2 linked regions of the Oreochromis niloticus genome follow. The protein of the gene in region 1 purifies or fractionates together with the protein of each later gene. This does not show direct contact. Links are inferred from orthologs where the notes say so. Each region holds a gene or a part of one and is shown in the gene's direction. Other genes may lie near its edges.

Region 1 (5,311 bases):
ATCCTGAGAGCGTTCTCTGTTATCACTACACTTCAACACGGTCTTTGACAGGCTGAGCGCCCCCAGGTGGGTTGTCAACTGCACAGCTTTAAAGGAGGATACCTCTGGGAGAGCTCCCCTCTGGATAGAAATGATTGCACTTTCAGGACAGAAGTCTCATTTAATCACATCGCTGACTCTGAATTGTTGTTAAATTTGAGGAGAAATCTGCTGCTCGGTGGAGGAGAGGGGAATAGCTACAAAGAAATGTTCCATGCTTCTGGGCTTGTTGGACTGGCACTGGTGGTGAAAACGCTCCAAAACATTTTAATGATGTAAAATGCCACTATGCTCTTGGTTGCACTTTTGACTTTTTATTTTTTTTAACAGCACATGTAAAAAATGTGCTGGTTGTTAAAGTGTAATTTATTAATATGTTGGACTCACTAAACAAGTGCTATTTATTTGAACCCCTACAACTAGTCATCATAGCTGCGTTACACTATAATATAGAGACATTAAGGTGTGTTTTCTATACAAATGTAATTTTCAACACATAGTTTAAGTAAGTTGTCTTGATCTAGCTATAATGTCCATTCATGATTGCTTCGACATTGGCTTTAGAATAATGTTAAATGTTGTATCTTATATAAAAACCCGAAAAGATCATATTGTACTTTTATTTTTACAAAGGTGCTTTCTCTGGAGTATCATATCTTCACTTTACTTTTGAAAATCTAACCAGCCACCTTATTTATCAAGCCAGAAGGTGATTTTTAAACTTTTGAAAGCCTCACAGTCTTCTGTCGGGGGGAAAACAGCAACGCGATCAGGCGTGCTCTCCTCTTCTCGTGCTTCTACAGACTTCATTGTTGTAATAGCGATCATTACTGTGCAGGACATGTTGTGTTAAATGCCTCAAAAGGGTTGCGGGTGAAATCGTTTGCAGAGAATGCTGACATGTGATTAGTTCCTAATAATGAACTAATATAGTAAAGCATTTCCTGTGTGAACATTTGGGATTGTTATTATAATGTAATATTTTTTAGATATATGTAAGCCACACTAAACTATTTCTGCAGTTTATATTTAAAAAAAGGAGATTGGTGTGTCTCAGTGTTCACTAATGCTGTGCTCAGGCAAAGCAAGAGGACTCGGTGTGGGGTAGAGTTGAAATACGGTACTCAGGGTTTTAATGAAATCTACTAGCAGCCACAGGTTTTAAGAAAGCGTTTGCATACTTTGAAGGCAAATAGATCCAGTATGTGAAGTTGTACATATGTTTTAGGGCCAATTGAGCCTTGTCTGAAAACATGAAAATAATCTGCATTAACTATGAGACTTCAGAAAAAACAAACTTAATAAATGGTTGGTTTTTTTAATTATAATTCTTTTTTTAATAAAAGGATTTTGAAAGGGGTGGAGGTGGAGGCTCTGTTGTCGAGGGGCATGGGCTTTACAAAACAATTCATCTAAAGGCACATAAAGCAAACGTTATGAATAAAGATTTGTGGCTGTATTGTGAAACGAAAAGTGGCTGCAAAATCGATGACTTCTGTTATATTTTAAATATTTAATTTATTGCAAATAAATTATTTTTTAAGCATCATCTTTGTACCTGAGTCCGTTCATTGTATTTTCAATAAACCATAAGAGGTTCCTTTTTATGATGCACTTGCATGTCTGTAAAGGCGCATGGGCTACAGTGTAACATTAAAAGAACGTAACTTCCTGTACCTGCAGTTAACTTACATGTGCTAATAAGTTTGCTTCTTTGTGGCTCTTCCCTGCATTTCATTGTCTTCGCTGACTAGCAACACCAGAATGGGCCCAAGATTTTAGGACAACTTGAGCAGAATTTGATTTTGAGGCCATAACCTCCAACTAAACCCATCACCAATATCTCATCTCAGCACCGCCAATGTTAACTAAATATTGTCTGTGCTTGAACTAATGCTTTTAAATTATACATCTACCAAAACCACTGTCATGGCTAACTAGATTGCTGGAAAGAACTCAAATAAACCAGCAATCAGTGGATTTTTAGAAAAACAAAACTGTTTTTGCAAACAAAGCTCTTAATTAAACCTGCATCATTCACCCATTTACTTTTTTCCTATGCTTAAGTGCTTTCTATCTAACATTTAGACACATATGAATACATCGGAGAACAACTTGGAGTTAGTATCTTACCCAAGGATATTTGACAAGAAGACTGGAGCAGCCAGGGATTGAACCAGTCGGCAGGGGTGCTTGTCCTTGTATCCATTGGGGTCTTTTTTGGCGGGCAAGAGGGTTGCTTCTCTGCGTCTTTGGGGAGTAGCCTGTTCTTGGATGACATTTCAAAGGATCCAGTTCTCTAAAAGACATAGCAGGGGATGGTTTCAATCCACAGCTCCACTCTGTTCATACACACCCCAGATGAGACTCAAACCCACAATCCCTGGCTTAGGAGGCCAGTGCCTTATCCATTAGGGCACTGGGACTACACAAAGCCAGAAAGAATTGAACATAACCCTCATGATACTTATCCTCCTAGTCAGTTTCTAACAGCAGGTTACCAAAAATAATGCCTGTGGTGTCTGCACAGCTACGCTACACTTTCAGTGAACTGAAAGATGTCATTGTAAGTGAATGTTAATGATAAATACCTAGTATGTTTTTGTGGCACTTTGACCTACTTTGAAACACAGTGTTTTGAACATGATCCCAGCTCCAACAGTGAAAATGATTAAACCAGTGGCATTAAGGCACCAGTCTGCTAATAAAATAGTAACAATATGTAACTTTCACTTGTACAATTACTATTGATATTTCACACACAAAAATACATCGATTAACCTGTCTTGTGTGGCATTTCATGCGGTCTTGGTGGGGGTTGTCTGCTAGCTTGGGGGCACTAAGTAATTGTTTAGTCTGCTAATGCTGCTTGCTGGCTCTCAGTTATGTTTTCATCAAAATCAAATTTACTTGAAAATGTGCACAAAAGAAATGTGGTTCCGGCTGTGATTAGCTAAAAAAGGACAGACCAGATACATTCATGGCATATAAACCAAATTATACACGGGACACATAGTACAGAGTAAGGCACTCACATACTGTATGGCCATTAAACTTGTTCTTAGTTTAAATATCTGAGGATGATAAAGATGGGGACTGCTGTTGTTAAGTTTGAGAAGAGCACAAAGGAATTCCTTTCAGACCTGCAGTAGAAGGCATTCAGGTCAATAGGTCTTTGTTTGGATGCAGTGGGGGATGGTGTCCTGTAGTTTTCCACAGTCTTGCAGGCCTCTCCATACTGATGGTCATGAGATGAGAGCACCTTTACAGCATTTTTTTTCTTTCAAGGGTAGCTTCTTTTTGAAGCAGTTTGGTTTTCACTTTAGTTTTTATTGTTAAAAATATTTGGCTTTTGTTTAGTATTAGATGTATTTATTTATTAATAAGATACTTGTTAGGAGAAATATTTAAGGAATTCTGAAAAGGTATTACAATTGGAATACAAAAAGGTCTACATGAAACTCACTTATGTAGACACACTAGTCGAAATAAATGTGTATGTATGCCCATTACATCTATGGACGGGTGGGCACATTTGACCAATGAGTAAATCTAAAAACATTTCCTGTTTGTACACAATAATGTTGGATTTCTTTCCTTTTTTTTTAAAACTTCAGTTAAATTATTAGTTATAAACAGCTTTATATTTTAGTGTAAAGTTTAATCATTTTGGCACACAGATCCTCGATGTTATTTGCCACGCTGTCAACATTTCGTCCAGGTTTTTGCACTGGTCAGCGTGTACGAAGCTTGGCTTCCAATACACATACATAAGGGGGGTTAAATGTTCCATTTAACTTTTACCGCAGAGTTGGTCTGCGCGCCAAAAAATTTAAAGTTGGAGGGAAGCTAGTCGATTGGCTTTCTGGCTCCTCCTTTTTTACTTTTGACCCACTGACAGAAAGCAGTAACAGTAACAGCCAATCGATCGTGCTTCTTCCTTTTAGGCTCCATCGTGATTGTTCACAAACCAGGAGAGATCCACCAATAGTCATTAATTTCCTCTCACGATGTTCCTCTCAGGGCCAATCAGACAATAGTACTTTTGTTCCAAAACCCAATGGCAGGTTAGGGCGGGACAAAGCATGAGGTTTATATGTAGGCTGTGAAGCGATTTTTTCATCACTAGCAAACCAGCGACTGCAGTGCTTCGATTCAGAAGAACTATTTGAGTAACCAACAATGTCTGGAAGAGGTAAAACTGGAGCAAAGGCCCGTGCCAAGGCTAAGACCCGCAGCTCTCGCGCCGGTCTGCAGTTCCCCGTCGGCCGTGTCCACCGTCTTCTCCGCAAGGGAAACTACGCAGAGAGAGTTGGCGCCGGGGCCCCAGTTTACCTGGCCGCCGTCCTGGAGTACCTCACCGCTGAGATCCTGGAGTTGGCCGGCAATGCCGCCAGAGACAACAAGAAGACTCGTATCATCCCTCGCCATCTTCAGCTGGCTGTACGCAACGACGAGGAGCTGAACAAACTCCTCGGTGGCGTGACCATCGCACAGGGAGGCGTCCTGCCCAACATCCAGGCCGTCCTGCTGCCCAAGAAGACCGGCCAGTCTGCACCGAGCTCCGGCAAAGCGGGAAAGAAGGCCTCCTCTCAGTCACAGGAGTATTAGCTTGCTAGCTAATAACTCTTAACACCCAACGGTCCTTTTAAGGGCCACTCACTCCTAATTGAAAGAGCAACTTTTCCTGATTATTGCTGTCTTACATCCCCTTTTCGCATGATTTTTATTTAATAAAAAGCCTGTTTTGTAAGAACTGTTGTATTCTGCTGATTTAAGGCTAATTGATGCTACTTGCTAGTTTTGTTGAGACTTGCTAGCCTGACCGGTTGAGCTGAATTTATCAGACTGGTGTACTCTAACCGATTATACCGTGAGCTCGAGAGTCGTAGTACAACACTAGCCATTTACCAGGGCTTTGTTTCATGATCGGGGTTAAAAAACAAAAACAAAAATGGCCTCCACTTATCAACATTTAACCCAGGTACATGGGCCAGAGCCTGCAACACCGGTTGCATTTCACCTTATTAGTAGCATGACTGTGCAGCTTTTGTGGTAGCTGATTAAATTACTTTTGGTTTGGCAGAAATGGCTCTTCAGTGTGCATCTGTGGCTGAAATAATGGTCTATGTAGGCCTATTGCACATTGCCATCTAAAGCATAATATGCTACAAATAACTCAACCTAATCTGAGTTTCGGCTCTCAAAGTGTTCATGTGCACGGAGCAGTTTTAAATTTCTATCCATTTTGAAGGGTTTCCTGCACCGCAAT
Region 2 (7,936 bases), on another chromosome or scaffold:
TTCATCCAACCCGCCTCTTCTCCATCTCCACCTCAGACACCTCAGCCAGAATAGAGCATTCAAGTCTCAGCCTTCATCTTCGCCACCACCAGTGTTTAGACTCTGAGGGGGTCTAAACACTACTATGCTGGGTCAGCAGAGTCTAATAGCCAAATACATTAATTTCCCTATCACAATAAATCATGTTCAGCTCTTCCAAGTGACCTTGCCTTATTGAACTACAACCACTGAATGAAGCACAAATTGCGTTGGAATGCAGTTCTCTGTGTCTAATGAGATAACTGTGGTTTCTAAACTATTACATTAATTTTTCTGTGTGTATTGTTGGCTGAGTGAATTTATCAGATGTCATGGGGCCCCGCAGGCTAGTACGTGGACACGGACCCAACACAGATTCAAAGACTGGAAACAGCATTAAGGTTTTCCTCACAAGCTTTATTCCTAAGCACACATGTAAACAATGGGAGGAATGCTTAACAGGGAGTCTGACATGGTGAAACTGTGGACAGAGGGAGACTGTGGTTAGAAAGGGAACAGGGGAGGCAAAGACTGGTAACATGAAAATGATTGGGTTTGCGTCTTACTTGGCAGGTATGACTCTGGAGGGAGGGGTAATGGCCAAGTGAGCGTCCTGCAAGATGAGTTAGTGGAAAACAAGGCACCAAGTACAACACAGAAACACCAAGCATGCAGCACTGCAGACTGTTACTGACACAAACTGGCAGCAAAGAGATGCTGACTCTGGTCTTAAGTACTGCCTTCCTGATTGCCTCAGATCTCCATCAGGTGAGCTGAGCAGGTGGAATAATGAGGACTCCACCCAGAGGCGGATAACAAGGAACACAGGGAAACGGTAGAAAAATTCAGGCTGTGTCCCAATTAAGAGACCGCACGCTTGAAGTACGCATTTTGAGTGCGATTACGTCACCGCCACGCGACGACGGCTGTCCCAATACAAAGGCCGTTTCTCAATTCTCAAGTACGCGAGTACGTACTCGCGTTCTCGGTGAGTACATACTCGCCAAGAATGCACGGGAGTACGTACCCGCCGAGAACGCGAGCACGGACTCGCGATATGTACAATTGGAACACCTGCGTACGTGATGATGTCACAGGTCCGGAGTTTTTACTGCCGTCCCCTCTTAATTTAACTGTGAGTAACATGTTATGAAGCTTAACTGTAATCACAGCCAAACCGGTTTACTCAGGAACAAATAAAACACTGAAATAAACCAAACATTAACATTTAGAAGTGATCTAAGTGACTTATATATCATTTTTAACCTCAGTAGTGAAACCTCTATTAATAAAAATAGTGTACATGTACATACGTGTACATACCTTAATAAAAACAAGCAGGTGAGATGTTAGAACGCTTTTATTTCTATTTTAGTGGACACTCAATACTATAGACAGCTGCTGGGGTTTCTTTAACCTGAGTAGTGAGAAGACCGCGAGCGGGGGGGGGGGGGGGGGGGGGGGGGGGGTTGAAAACGATGTGCCGGCAGTCCGCTGTTGAGTTTTGGACGAAATGCATTCTGGGATATTTAGCTGTACCAAGTCCACACCGATGCATGCTCGATAAAATGGGCGGATCGAGAACACATCCGGGACTTTTTCGCGTTCTCAGCTTGATGCGTGCTTCGAATTGGAACAGTACTTGGTCTCCGACTGATGACGTATCACGAGTACACGAGAACGCAAGTACGCACAAGTACGCATATTGAGAAACGCCCAAAGTGTACTTCAAATGCATACTCCAAATGCACCGTCGATTTCCCCAAATATCAAGCGTGGTGCACGCTTCGTGGTCCCATATATCCCACAATTCATAGCGCGGTGGTGGGTGTGGATAATTTTGCCGCAAAATACAGCAGACGGCAGAAGGGAGCTGCCGAAGAGTGAACTGTCAAAAGTAAGTACTGAATATGATGTCATTTATGTGCGAATGTTTAATAATGAAGAACATTAAAACATTACTGTTGGCCACATGTCGGCAAAGTTATGTGACATTAGCGATGTTAGTACTTTCAGTGTTAACTTGGTTTTAAAGCCTCTACTTCAATATATATATACATACATATATAGTTGACCTTAATCTTACAGAGAATGTGATAATTTCATGGATAATTAAAGTCAGTCATATATCCACAAACACAACAAGCTGAAAGTCAGTGATGCTGCTCGGTTTGCAGTCCTGAATATGACGGCACAAGCAGGATTCACTGCACTGTTAATGTTAGCTATGTTATATTGCTGCCTCTGTTCGGTGGTGTCGAGCCAAACGGACTTTAACGTGTGTTTGAACGAGCTGACGGTTCACTCGTTAAGCTGAAAGAAAGATGCTTTAATCACAGCAGTCACACATGTGTCCACTGTAGCATCTGGGAGCTCTTCTTGTTTAGCACTCGTAATAACACAAACACTAAATCCTCCTCCTCTTGTGCTGTTTTGTAGCAGTGTGTACACCTGAGACTGTCACCTGTCTGTCTGTCCTGCACTCTCTCTCTTTTTCTTTCTCTCTGATTGTGGAATAAAAGTATGAACATGTATTTATAAGTTACACTTGTGTTTGAATCCTGCAGCTCATCACAAATTTGACTTCCATGTGTGACGACTGCAAGTGTCCAGAGTGAGGACAGACTGAGGGACCCACTGCTGCACATCATCTGTGAGGCTTTGCACCCCTGATGATCCACCATGACAAACTCAGCAGTGTGTAAGGAAGAGGAGGAGGAAGAGCCAGCAGCAGCTGACAGATGGAGAGAATAGACAGACTGTTCCCTGTTTGTGAAGGACTGCTAGAAAAGTTTAAAATAACTAATTGTCTGTCCTGAATCAGTCTTATTAGGTAATGTTCAAATAATTTTATCATTCCAGTGTTTTCAGTGTGGGAGAAAGTACTCAGGGCCTTCAAGTTACACACTATGAAAGGCAGCAACAAGTTTAATATTCAGAAACCTGAAGTATGTATCAGCAGCAGAATGGAGCTAAAAATAAATGTTTGTTTCAGTTCTATGAAGCTTTGAGTATTTTGGATTAGTAGCACTGCTGTGTTTGTTGCATCATATTGCTGTAATTGTTTATATGCTTTATATATTCTGAGGTAAGTTGATCTATAGTGTTACATCATATTCTATAAGGATGTTATGTGTTTGTATAGTTTCTGCCCAGTTTGACCCATTTAGCAGAAGGCAGCCTGTTTAAGGCTCCAACTGAGGAATCCAGTGCATATGACAATGTCATGTTGGATTGCATTTTGAAAAATGACACAAAAGTTAAACACAGTGCATTTAAATGCCTAAACTTCCATATGTGATGCGCTGGAGAGAGACCATCCTCACCTCACTTTCTCTTGGTCTCAACTTCTGAAAACTTTTTTTCTGATTTCCTTTTGTGTTTGGGGAGTGTTTTGAGGATTTTACTATACTAGTACATAAGGACTATAGGCATAAACCCTTTTTTTCTGCTTGAAAAACAGGTGCAATGAAGTGGCTGTTATACTTCTACCTGGCCTGACGATCATTATCCCACTGATTTCAATGTCAGACAAAGTACTCAACACATTCCCTTCAACACTATCAGCTGCAAACAGGCTCCATGTTCATCAAAGCAGAGCAGGAGAGAAAAGGATGAAAATGCTGATAGTGATGATGACAGTGATCACTACTGTGATATCCTCAGTATTTTGATACAAGCTGATAAAAACGGCCTCTTTCTAGCATAATTCAGGGCCATTTTTCATCAAGAAAGGACAGCTGTAATCATCCCTTTTGCTTTCCTGTCCCATCCGTCTTCCCCTTTACATGCATCAGGATCAATCTAGGTTCATTTATTTTAATCATCTCTTATTTGCGAAACTGACAAAGTCAAAAGAGGACAACAGAAACAAAGTTGATTTTGAAAATGAGTCAAAGTATACATTTATACAACTACATTCTTTTGCAGCATCGTTCACAATTTTTCATTAGAAAACATAATTTTTCATCCCCCCCCCCATCTGTTTTAAATTAAGTAAGTTAATTGTCAGCATTAGATTCTCTGTTAAATTATTTTTTATCAAAAATAAGCAAAAAAAAAAAATTCCAAACATCTGACATGAGCAATGATACAATTAAAAAACAATTAATTAACAATACATTTTGAATCCTATAACTTTAAATTAAAAATGCTTAACAATTTAAGTGTAATTTTGAATCTTTGAAAAATATATGTGGATAATTTATTTGTCCACCTTTTTCATATTGATACAGTGCACCCAACCTGATTGTTCAAACCTGAAAAGTATTGTTATTCCACCATAATGTGAGAATGTTCATAAATAGATTTTAAAATGGAATTTTAAACTTTTACCATCCCCAAGAATGTTCAGTGTAGTTGACATCAATTCCAGCTCAAATAGGTACATTTTTAGAAAAGTTCTCCATAACCATCTCTGATGTGCATAAACATTTTATCTCATTTATTTTTTTTTATAGTTAGCTTTTTACACACTAACCTTTATTTTCTCTCTATTTAACTGAGTTCTTTTGTGTTATGAAGTTTTTACCTTATGGAAATTTTGTTGTGCTACATACAAATTTCAAGCTATTGATTGGTTTTAGCTGTTGTAACAGGGATTTTCCAACTTTTGGGGAAAAAAAAGTTATGTTATTCTATTGGAAGACTAAATGAAAAATTAGTAATTATTCTTTAACAATACATAAATAGATAGAAATCCCCTAAATTGGATAGTTTATGATAAAAACTTGTATACAGTAAGTGGGGGCTGTATTAATATTTTCTACGGTTCCAAACTTAGCATTGGTTTTATAGTAGGCCTACATGCACTCTATACACAATTAATGTTATCATTAAGAAAATAAAGTTTATAAACTCAGATATTATTATTTTGATTCACTAGCTCTCACGTGACTGTCATATTGTACTACGTAACTGTCCTCATAGCAACAATATGCAACCGTCGGTACGTCACCACGGTGTTCTCCATTGTCCATATACCATGCTTCTAATAGACCTGTCGTAGTGAACGTGAAGTACAGAGTGAGTCCTTCCACGTCGTCATTTATATGTATATAAAGTCAAATTGTATTTGCCGTCTGGCACAATTAACAATTATTTGTTCCCTCGAACTGTTGCTAGTTAGCTAGCCCGGCTGTACTTTGTGACTAGTAGTGATGTTGCTGGTATGCTAAATGCTAATGCTGTTGTGTTTCACGTGCAGTTTTGCATTAACTTGGTCTGATGTTAATACATTTACTTGGATCTTACTTTTCGATGCTTTTAATTGTGTCCCTATATGTATACTAAGAGCATCACGAGCATCAGGGATTCAATCAGAACGTCATAATTTAAATACAGCTAACATGCTCAGCACGATTAGCTATGGTGCTTGACGGACCAAAATGTCTGGTAAGTGTACCTCTTAGGCTGTTTTAGACGACTATCGTAGATTCTTCATTTAAAAAGAAAAACAAACATGTATCGTTCGTGAAAACAAAACCGCAGCGGTGCTATTTGTTTGCTAACAGCGTGCTAATAGGCAAGTTGCGTAGCTAAGAGCTGTACAAATCCCAACATCAGAAAACCTAGTGTCTGCAGCTGATTAACGTCGTGTTTCGTGTGGTGTTGAAGGGAAAATAATACATAGGTTTACGTCACTATTTAAAGACGCGTTTGGGAGATAACTACCCTTTTGATACAGGATACCCGAACGTTAAGGGCTCACAAGTAATTGGACGTTTGGGTGCTGAATATTTTTTTGCAGCAGCATAGATTGACTTGCATAAAGCACAAATTGAGTTTGCTTTAAATGTCTTTAAGTTTAACTCGCTGTCAATATGAGGTGCAGTCCGCACAGGTGAACTAGACCATCATTATAAAATTGAGGCAACTTTGTATTGTCGTACACAACCTACCTATGGCACTGCAGTACCTTTGGTATTTTATAGGTATATGTTTTTTCCTATGGCTAGGAGTTTTCAACCATAAAACACCTATCCTATCCTTTCAAACATAGTTTCGTGGAGTTCTCCAAAACTCAGCAGCATGTAGGCCTGTAGGCCTGATTGATTGGCAAGTGGGATTAAACTGCTTCTCCTGTTCTGGAGTTCACCAGGAATGTGAGGGGCAAGAAAAAGATTCTGTATGAAAAGCATAGACTTGGTTGCAGAAAACAGTATAGGCCTTCACAGCCTGGAACTGTCTTACTGACAAATTGTCAGTGGCTCTCTCATTGACATTTTTCAGCCCTTTATGGACACTTAAGTCTACCCCATTTTTTTTTTCCTCTTTTTTTCCCCTCAATTCAGGGAATAACCCATAGTTCACAGTGTTCCATTGTCATACTCTACGTTGTGTTCCAGCGAAGTGCTCTATTAGGGTGATGCAGTACTGTGGGGTCTTTAAGATAAGATGGGGCCTGATTATTCAAGACCTTGTATGTGATGAGAAGAACGTTAAATTTGAACCTGGATTGTCAGACAGTCACAGACAGGCAGCCAGTAAAGATAAGCCGATATAGAGAAATATGCGCTCTCTCTTTCAAGTGCCCGTCAGTACTCTTGCTGCAGCATTTTGGATCAACTGAAGGCTTTTCAGTGAGTTTTTAGGCATTTTTTTAAAATAATAGTCCAGCTTGGAAGCAAGAAATGTATGAACTAGTTTTCCAGCATCACTCTGAGAGAGGGCGTTTCTAATTTTAGAGAGATTGTGCAGAAGAAAACAGTCCTACATATTTGTTTAATATGTGCACTGAAGGCCATATCCTGGTCAAAAACAACTCAAAGACTCCTCACAGTGCTACTGGAGGTCAAGGTAGTGGCATCCAGAGGCTAGATTCCATATTTGTAAGACTTTTTTATGGCCGAGCACAATAACCTAATTTTTAATCTAAATTTAGAAGCAGAAAATTAGAGGTCATCTACCCACCTTTGAGACATTCCTGCAGTTTAACTAAATAGTGTGTGTTATCTGTTTTGGATAGATAAAGTTGAGCATCACCTGTATAGCAACAACAATGTATTCTGTGCCTTCTAATGATACAGCCTAAGGAAAGGATGTATAATGTAAAAATAATTGGTGCTAGCTAGGGCTGCTCAATTAATCGAATTTTAATCTAGATTACGATCTGGGCTTTCAACGATCATTAAAAATGACTAAGCCGATTATTAGCACCTCCCTCGTGCTTTACTCTCGCTCTGCTCCGTGTAGCAAATCGAGCGCACCTCTCTGCGTTTCGAACACGCGTCACAACAATTAAGAGGACCCGAGGGTTGCTCGGAAAGCTCGGAAAGCTAAGCAGAAGTTATTTGTAGAGGAGAGGATAATGGCTGCTGAAGAAAGAATGCCGCTGGTTGAAAAGAGAGATAAAACGACTTCAGTGGTGTGGAAACATTATGTGTTCGCGGAGTCAGACGTGGATCAAATATTGTGCAGTATTTTGAAGTTCACTAAACATAGATGTTTACATTTTTCATTTATTTTTTATATTGCAAACATTTCCACTGTAATCATTATTTGCACACTATTTTATATTATTTTTTGACATCTTTAAAGTCATTATTCAATACATTGTTATTGTTAAATAAATATCGTCAAATAATCGAGATCTCAATTTCAGTGAAAATAATCGTGATTATCATTTTTGCCATAATCGAGCAGCCCTAGTGCTAGCACAGAACCTTATGGAACTCCATAATTAATCTTAGTGTGTGAAGAGGACTCTCCATGTTTCAAACCACTTCAGCATACCTTTAATACCTACAGCATGCTGTAATCGCAGTAATAAAACATTATGGTCAGCAGTACAGAACGCTGCACTTTACATATGGGCACATAACGACCTGCCAGCATCTCCTTTTCGTAGCCCAATTTTATTTGAAATACTATCAAATAAAATATTATCACTTTTATGCTTTGTAATGATCATTAGGCA

Evidence for each region. Proteins that work in one complex are often made in the same cells at the same time.
Region 2: the proteins of h2ax (region 1) and phf14 purify together in Homo sapiens (affinity purification with mass spectrometry; 3 studies listed by BioGRID and IntAct, counting the BioPlex papers as one, with this or other methods). This does not show direct contact. The link is inferred for Oreochromis niloticus from reciprocal best matches to the Homo sapiens genes H2AX and PHF14.

What each region holds. Positions count from the first base shown.
Region 1 is NC_031975.2:11,780,311-11,785,621, reverse strand, and holds h2ax (histone H2AX), read left to right. Parts: upstream 1-4,144; 5' UTR 4,145-4,221; coding exon 4,222-4,650; 3' UTR 4,651-4,795; downstream 4,796-5,311. UniProt on the Homo sapiens protein: Variant histone H2A which replaces conventional H2A in a subset of nucleosomes. Nucleosomes wrap and compact DNA into chromatin, limiting DNA accessibility to the cellular machineries which require DNA as a template.
Region 2 is NC_031985.2:37,419,600-37,427,535, forward strand, and holds the start of phf14 (PHD finger protein 14), read left to right. Parts: upstream 1-4,936; 5' UTR 4,937-5,043; intron 5,044-5,311; 5' UTR 5,312-5,405; coding exon 5,406-5,412; intron 5,413-7,936. UniProt on the Homo sapiens protein: Histone-binding protein. Binds preferentially to unmodified histone H3 but can also bind to a lesser extent to histone H3 trimethylated at 'Lys-9' (H3K9me3) as well as to histone H3 monomethylated at 'Lys-27' (H3K27ac) and trimethylated at 'Lys-27' (H3K27me3).